2 linked regions of the Saccharomyces cerevisiae S288C genome follow. Changing the gene in region 2 together with the main gene of any one other region gives a genetic interaction. Each region holds a gene or a part of one and is shown on either strand. Other genes may lie near its edges.

The links. Genes that interact genetically often act in the same process or in processes that back each other up.
Region 1: mutations in PAL1 (region 2) and SPS2 together harm fitness more than expected from each alone (negative genetic interaction), as found in Saccharomyces cerevisiae (2 studies listed by BioGRID).

Annotation. Positions count from the first base shown.
Region 1 is NC_001136.10:1,483,511-1,487,268, forward strand, and holds SPS2 (Sps2p), read right to left. Parts: upstream 1,794-3,758; coding exon 285-1,793; downstream 1-284. Other genes in the region: putative serine/threonine protein kinase SPS1, read right to left, coding at 2,056-3,528. UniProt on the Saccharomyces cerevisiae protein: Involved in middle stages of meiosis. Redundant with SPS22 for the organization of the beta-glucan layer of the spore wall.
Region 2 is NC_001136.10:1,169,826-1,173,483, forward strand, and holds PAL1 (Pal1p), read right to left. Parts: upstream 2,001-3,658; coding exon 501-2,000; downstream 1-500. Other genes in the region: mitochondrial 37S ribosomal protein mS43 MRP1, read left to right, coding at 1-318; YPS7 (putative aspartic endopeptidase), read right to left, coding at 2,561-3,658. UniProt on the Saccharomyces cerevisiae protein: Involved in the early step of endocytosis.

The sequences.
Region 1 (3,758 bases), 310 kb from region 2:
CCGTATCAAAACACTATTTTTCAATTAAATCATCTACCTAATGAGCTCATTTTGTTAAGATGATCTACCATAATAATTATTCAAAAACTGTCAAAATTAAAAGGAGGGTAACAGTTTCAATAGTTTAACCAGTTTTGGTAATGCCTGAAATAACATAAAAAGCTGATGCTAAGTGGGCTACGCTATGCTCCAGGTGAAGATAATCAGAACACTACATCTCTACTGCAAATTTATATCTCATAAGAACTAAATAAAATGGCTAGTATTTAAGTTAATCTTCTAACCTAAAAAATTATCGAGAACAATACCGTGAAAACTGCATAAACTGACATTTTGAAAGCATCAATAAAAATGTTCTTCGGAGCACTGTTTTCCATCTTCTTTGAACTTCCTTGACTTTTTGCACCATTTTTTCCTTTTTCTTTCTTTCCATTATCATTGTCAGTTTCCTGCTTTCCTAGTACATTCCCCTCTTCATCAACATTCAGCATTTTACTTTTCATACCAGATGTGCATTCGATTTTACCGCCTCTTATGATCGAACGACCGGCTTTTGGTGATGTAAATTCTTCACAGTTTAATTCCTCAGATGAACTTTTGATATAAGCGCTACCTTTTACTAACTTTAGCTCTGGGAGGTCAATTTTATCAAAGCTACCTTCAAAATATATTGCACCGCCAATTTGCCTCAACTTGGGGAAGAAATCAATTTTGGCAAGCTCTGTATTGTTAGCAATCATTAGACCCCCTTGAATATCGGTGGCATTCGAAAAGTTTAGCTTTTTCAGATTTTTATTATCTATTAACCCCAACGTTCCTTGAACTTTTGCCAAAAGTGGTAGTTCCAAGCTTGAAAATTGATTCTCGATGAACTCTAGAGAACTGTTCACAGAGGAAAGTTTAGCTAGTTTAATTTCTGAAACGTCCTTAATGGTCATATTTTCAACCGTGTGTAAGTTGCTCAAATCAAGTTCCAGCTCTTTGGCATTAGAGTGGACGGTTAGTTGTTTAGTAACACTTTCTAAACTTGCGAATAAATTTTCTAAAAACCTGTTATTGTTGATATTGAAAATATCCACTTTCTTGACGTTATTGAAGTAATCGATGGAGGTTAATGCAGTATCAGATATGATAATATTTTTGATCTTTTTAATATTTCCGTTAATGACAACACTACTTAGAATAGGCAAAACTCTCCAATCAACGGTTTCAACTTCTTTTAAAGCGGGAAAGTCTAATGATACAAAGGAAGTTAGGCTATCCAATTCCAACTTTCCCAAAGACTCTAAATTATAACCCTGGATTCTAAAAATGTGTTTGTTATTCTTGATAATAAGATCTCCCTCTATCTCTCTTATTAACCCTAGATCAATAAGAGATCCGCTGTAGTTACTTGATATTTCAATGTTTCCTACCACTTTCCAACATTTAGCTTGCAGTTCAATCAAATTTCCAGCATTCTCAATATGATACAAGCCTTTTTTACAGTCTTCATCTACTTGTGTTTGTTTTGTTGGAGAAATCACCTCAAAATCAGTTTGTTCCTTTTTAGGGATCGTTGCATTAGTGTTAACCAACATAATGTTGTGATCTAGAATATTCGGTCCACCATTAGGTTCAACTGCAGCGGATGATTTAATTAACTGCAGAAACAAGAATAAAAATCTTAAGATTGTGTTCAACTGGTTCAACATGCTATCCTTTTCTTTTTTTGTAGAAACTTTGGTTTCTTTATTGACTATTTGAATAACAGAAATACTAGTGAAGAATGTTTGTGTTTTCCAAATTGGCATTTTCTTTTATAGTCTAAGTAATGCCACAAAATATTTTTTTTGAGACGCATCAATGACGGGACAGTAAAGACATAAACGCTCGATCAGAAAAAAAGAATCGAAAAAAAAAGGGAGAAATAAGCAGGTAAATAATCAAAAACACATGACTTTTTACTGTTTGTTATATAATTCAATATATCCATCCTTCATTTATTGAAGATGAAAGAGAATGGAAAACAAAAACTCATGCATATACACACATTATATATATATATCTATTTTTTTAAACGAATCCTTTCTTTATTGCTTCAATTCTTAGTGAGATCTCTTCTATAAAAACCTCATTAAATCCAGGAACGTTTGCCTCAGTTTTAATGAATTGCTTTAACATTTCATTTACGTATTTTCTTGTTTCATCGTCGCGCGCACGATCATACATTCTGTTGAGAATATGAGATACAATGTTTTTCAAGTAGTCAAACTTTTCTATCTTCAACGCCTGAATATCGTTCTTTTTATGCTTCTTATTATGATTAGAGAGAGGAACTATTTCGGTCTCTGCTTGAGCATTTGGGCAGCCTGAATCTATATCCATTCCTGAATCAAGCTCGAAAACTGGTTGCGTACATTTTCTAAATGATGAAGAACTTGGGTTGGTTATCGGCGTTACAGTTTGCCCATGAAGTAAATAAGGACTTTCCATATTTAAAGATGATGTTGGAGAGTCTTGTGTAATGGGAGATAATTCCTCTTTGGAAATTTGTGTTGTGCTTAGTCTTGTCGATTCAAAATTCCAAAATTCCTTTCCCCTCACTGTGTTGCTGTTTTTATACAAGCGATTTTGAAGAGGGTATTTGGGAACTTTTGTATATCTCTCCTGAACCTTTTTCTGTTTAATTAGATCAACATCACTTTTCAAGTTCGTTATGGTGATATTCTTAACAAATTCAAATGATAACAAGTTATATGCCGATGGCCGATCAGCAGGTGTTTTAACAAGACAACCAGCTACGAAATCCTTTGCTGCATCCGAAAAGGGACCTTGTAATTTTGGAGGCTTCCTTTTTGGTAAGTTAGTCATAACTTTCATAGGATCATATTTAGATAATGGGGGTAAGCCCTTGAGTAACTCATAGGTGGTGATACCCAAGGACCATATATCTGCTTTCTCATTATACCCATCAACTTCGCAGCAAACAACTTCCGGAGCCATCCAATACGGCGTTCCTACAAAAGTGTCCCTTTTCAAAGTGGAACGAATGTGGCCACTTACTCCGAAATCACCCAACTTAACCATACCTTCTTCATTTAGTAAAATATTAGCTGCTTTGATATCACGATGAATTTTCCTTTGCTCATGCAGGTATTTCAAACCCAAGGTGACTTCATGAATAATGAAGGAAACTTTTTCTTCAGGCAAACCGTTGACGTAACTTCGCTTCAGTAAATCTGAACATGATCCACCGCCGCAATATTCCATGACAATCCACATAGAGACATCTTCTAACATTGTTGCAATATAGTTTGTAATAAGAGGAGATTTCAATTCCGCCAGAAAAAAAATTTCCTGTGCTAACAGTTCAATGTCTTCGTCGGAATGCTCCAGGTTGACCACCTTAATTGCCACAATTTCTTGCGTAACTCTATCCACTGCTTTATACACATCACCAAAGTTACCTCTGCCAATACATGATTGGATGGAATATAGCTTCGATGGAGGGGTTCTTGACCTAATTGATATTTCTTTGCTTTCCATTTTGTGCTATTTTCTTTTGTTGTTTAGTAAATGAATTAGCTAGTAAAAAAACTAAATTTAAAAAGCAAATGCTGGTTTGCTTTCTTTTGAGAAATGTTTGCTAAGACAACTGACTAGCCAGGTGTTCACTAAATCGATAATATTGAAAATGGCAAAATAAGAAAAAAAAAGAAGAGAATTAGCTGGCTTTTTTTGGATAGGAAATATTAAATGAAGCAGTTGGAACCAAG
Region 2 (3,658 bases):
AATGAGCTCAATAACCAATATACCAACATGGAAAAACAACGAGCCAAAGAAGCCGGTAATCTTGAAGATTCTGAGATGACTGCCAAGCAAGCCAAGACAAAATTTATTTATGAAACCCAACAGAAAGGTTTTTCTGGGAAAGAGGTTTCATATATCCCGCTTTTAGCCATTGATGCGTCACCAAAAACATGGTTAACTGATTATGGCGTATTTGGGAAACGAGAATATTTAGAAAGGGTATGGGACTCTATAGAATGGAAAATTGTAGAGTCAAGGTTACCTCAACGTACTAAGATCCAAGCATTCAACACGTTATGAATGAAACTGGTAATGGGAATTTTTTCCTTTTGATATAAGTTGGTAGTCTCTGTAAATATATAAAGTCAAACTATTCGTAATGTGTATATAACGTGGTCTTAAATTATTTTTATTCGTATCTCTCCCTTTTATTTGCCTGGCTTTGGTGTCTCATAGCTTCTTTTCTCTCTTTTAAGCTCACTTTACTGACTTTTCCTGCCGACCTTTAGACTTTTTACTCTGCTCAGTAATTTGCTGCCCGTCGATTTCTTTTTCATATTGGGCTCATTGTAGCGCACACCCAAATAAACGTCTTCCTCATCTTCATTGTGATCATCTTGGCCGTCGAAATCAGTAGTATAATTGGACTTATGCGTTCTGTTAGGAGAATTAACGGTTTTCGACCTTCTAACACCTTCATTGCTGTGACCAACATCATAGTTGTCTCTACTTAAACTCAAGTTTCTTCTAACGCCTGTCATGGGGGCATTGCTATCACCGGATCCTCCGAGACCTAATCGTTGAGAAAGTGACTTATTTCTTTGTAAACCACCGTTACGATTATGATAGGAATGGGCTTTTATGTCGTTTCTAATGGCAGCTGAGGAGGCCGGCGCCCCATCTAAAAACGTACTAGAACCTAATCCCGCAGTAACTGGCCCATGAACCAATTCTGTCTTATTTTTGGCATCCATTTGTTGGACGTTACCCACGTTTGCTTTTATTGCGTCCTGCGTATCACCACCTCTCCTTAGAGTCTGCGAACTGTACTGGTATATATCAGAATCATCTGTATCATCTCTCCCAAAAACCTCATCCAGGGCAGACTTCTTGGTTGAAGCGCCACCGATGGTACTGTTTGGACCATCGACCGGAAATGCTAAAACAGGCGCAGCTTTGTTATTTTTATTTCTATGAGGTGTTACTGCATCGAATGGGCCGTCATGATGAAATGAGCCACCGAACAATCCAGTTACATCTAACTTATCGATAGTATCGACGTTCTTAGGAACAATAACCTTACTTTTTCTCTTTCCCTTCTTAGAAGGCGTTGAAGATGAGGAAGCTTCACGGTGATGGTGGGATGAAGATCTGCGTGAAATATATGTGCCGCTGTTGCTATGTTCGCGGTGAGAAGAAGGACGAGAAACCTTTTCCTTTGGATATGCACGCCTTGATCCATTGGTTGAAGTGATCTCTTCGTATGAGGGTGGTAGGTCAGTGTTTTCTCTTGTGTTACCTACTGTACTTACGTCACTTTCCTCCAAATATCTTTGCCTTAATTGTTCTTTTTCTTCTTTAGCAGTGGGATGATTTTTATTCCTTGAAACAGGTGGGGGAGACCTTCTAAAATCGGTTGCAGAACTCACATCGTCTAGGAAAGGATTCTTTGAGGAAAGAGGTCTCGAAGGTGGTGATAAACTACCACTACTAAAGCTCTCCAAACCAGAATAAAAAGCACCCTGCTGATCTGCGTTTCGCTGGGGTTCATCCTCTGGAATGTTTGGGAATGATAATTGTGAAGAAGTTCTTGTGTTCAATTGTGGCATATCAAATGAATTGGTACGAGATTGGTTTTTCGCCCACTCCTGAAACTGGGAGTCATTTTTATACTGATTAATACTTGAATCAACTGTGGCATTTCTAAACGGGTTATTAACAGAAAATGGCCTACTAGAGGTACTACTGTTTCTATTCTCCATGCTAAATCTTGCGTATATGTATCAATTTTTCTAAAAATGGAAAATGCTGGCAAAGTGTAATGGAACCTACAATGTATCAACAATTAAGCAGTCGAAGATTATGGTAAAATGACGTTACGTGTTCGAAGGGATAGGTCTGCAAAACACTTAAATTCCTCGAATAAAAATAACAATAAAAAGAGCGAGGTAGATCGGATATATTTCGGATTCTACACACTATAAAATACAAATTAGAAATTTTACAGAGTTACCTCCCAAGAAAGAGTATCTTCATTTTCTAGTGAATAACCTATCGCCAGTCACCATGATCTGCTGTTGAACCAACCTCGAGGCGGGAAAAAAAACAAAAAAAAAAGTAACGCGATTTACGCTCCGTGCACGACGATTCTTTGAGATGGCTGCCAATGGTTGATCACAAGTACTAGCTTCTACACAACTGGATAAGAATGACGCATATATACTTTTAAGTATGTTGTTATTAAATCTGCTATATAATGATGTTATACGTGCATTGGTCAAGGAGAAAAAGGTTTTATGTTATGAACTTTTGTTAAAACCATTCAAAGAACAATAAGTATCGAGAATATCGAAAGTAGTAGCAAGGAAGCTATACGAGTTACATGTCCAGCTGGATCTTTGTTAAATGTATAAGGACTGCTCAATCGAACGCCTGCTCCCGAAGCACTGCTGGTTCTATTAGTTGAATTTGACCACTCTTCTGAGGCTGACACAGAAAAGCTGTCGAATTGAGTACTGGATGGTCTAGCACTTGTGCTTGCTCTTGAAGTATCATAGAATGACCGGCCCGCACCTGTAATCACACCGTTTGAGTATGCTGCTGTCAGTTGACCTGGGACAGTGAACATATAGCCTGACCTATAGGATGGATAAAGAGTCAAGTTTCTTGTATTACTACTATTCATCACTTTTGCGTAAGGAATGTAACCAGATTTGATCTTCTTGATGATAGTGGACGCGGTAGTTTCATTTGTCTCTTCAGTAACTGCGTCATCTTCAACCTTCTTTGCCTGTGCAATGGCTATAGTGTTATCCTCTAAGTCCATTGCCATATATATATTTTTTATGAAGGCTTCTCCGAGTATGTTTACTCCAGTATTTGTATTAGCGTATAGTGTTAGAAAACAAGCTTCCTGTCCAGAACTGAAAAACATTGAAGAATTGGTGGATGTATCGTAAGTAGATGATAATAAATCACGTAGGGGTATTTCAATTGTCAATTCTCGAAGCCTGAAACCCAAGGAGACACCCATATCTGCTATAGAACATTGGACTAGCCACCTATCTAGTGATTCCACATAAGTGGCCGCAATTTGAACGGCAATCTGAATAATGGTACTAGTTGGCAGGTAACTGACCGAAGAAGTTGAATCAAGTAAGGCTGGGCTCAGAAAGTCCTTCGAAGTCATATTCAAACTTTGTCCGCTGTTAGACACAATATAAATAGGGCCTAATGGCACAATTGGGTACCCAACACTAACAGCATTACTCACTGGGTCAACGTAAGGAATTAAGTCAAATTTTCCCAGTGTACCGGTAAACAGCGAAGGATCCACCCCTCCAAGAAGTAGCTTCCCACAATTAGATATTGGATCTCTATATGTTTTGTACGTGGAAGTGTCTCCAGCCAACCACAGTGA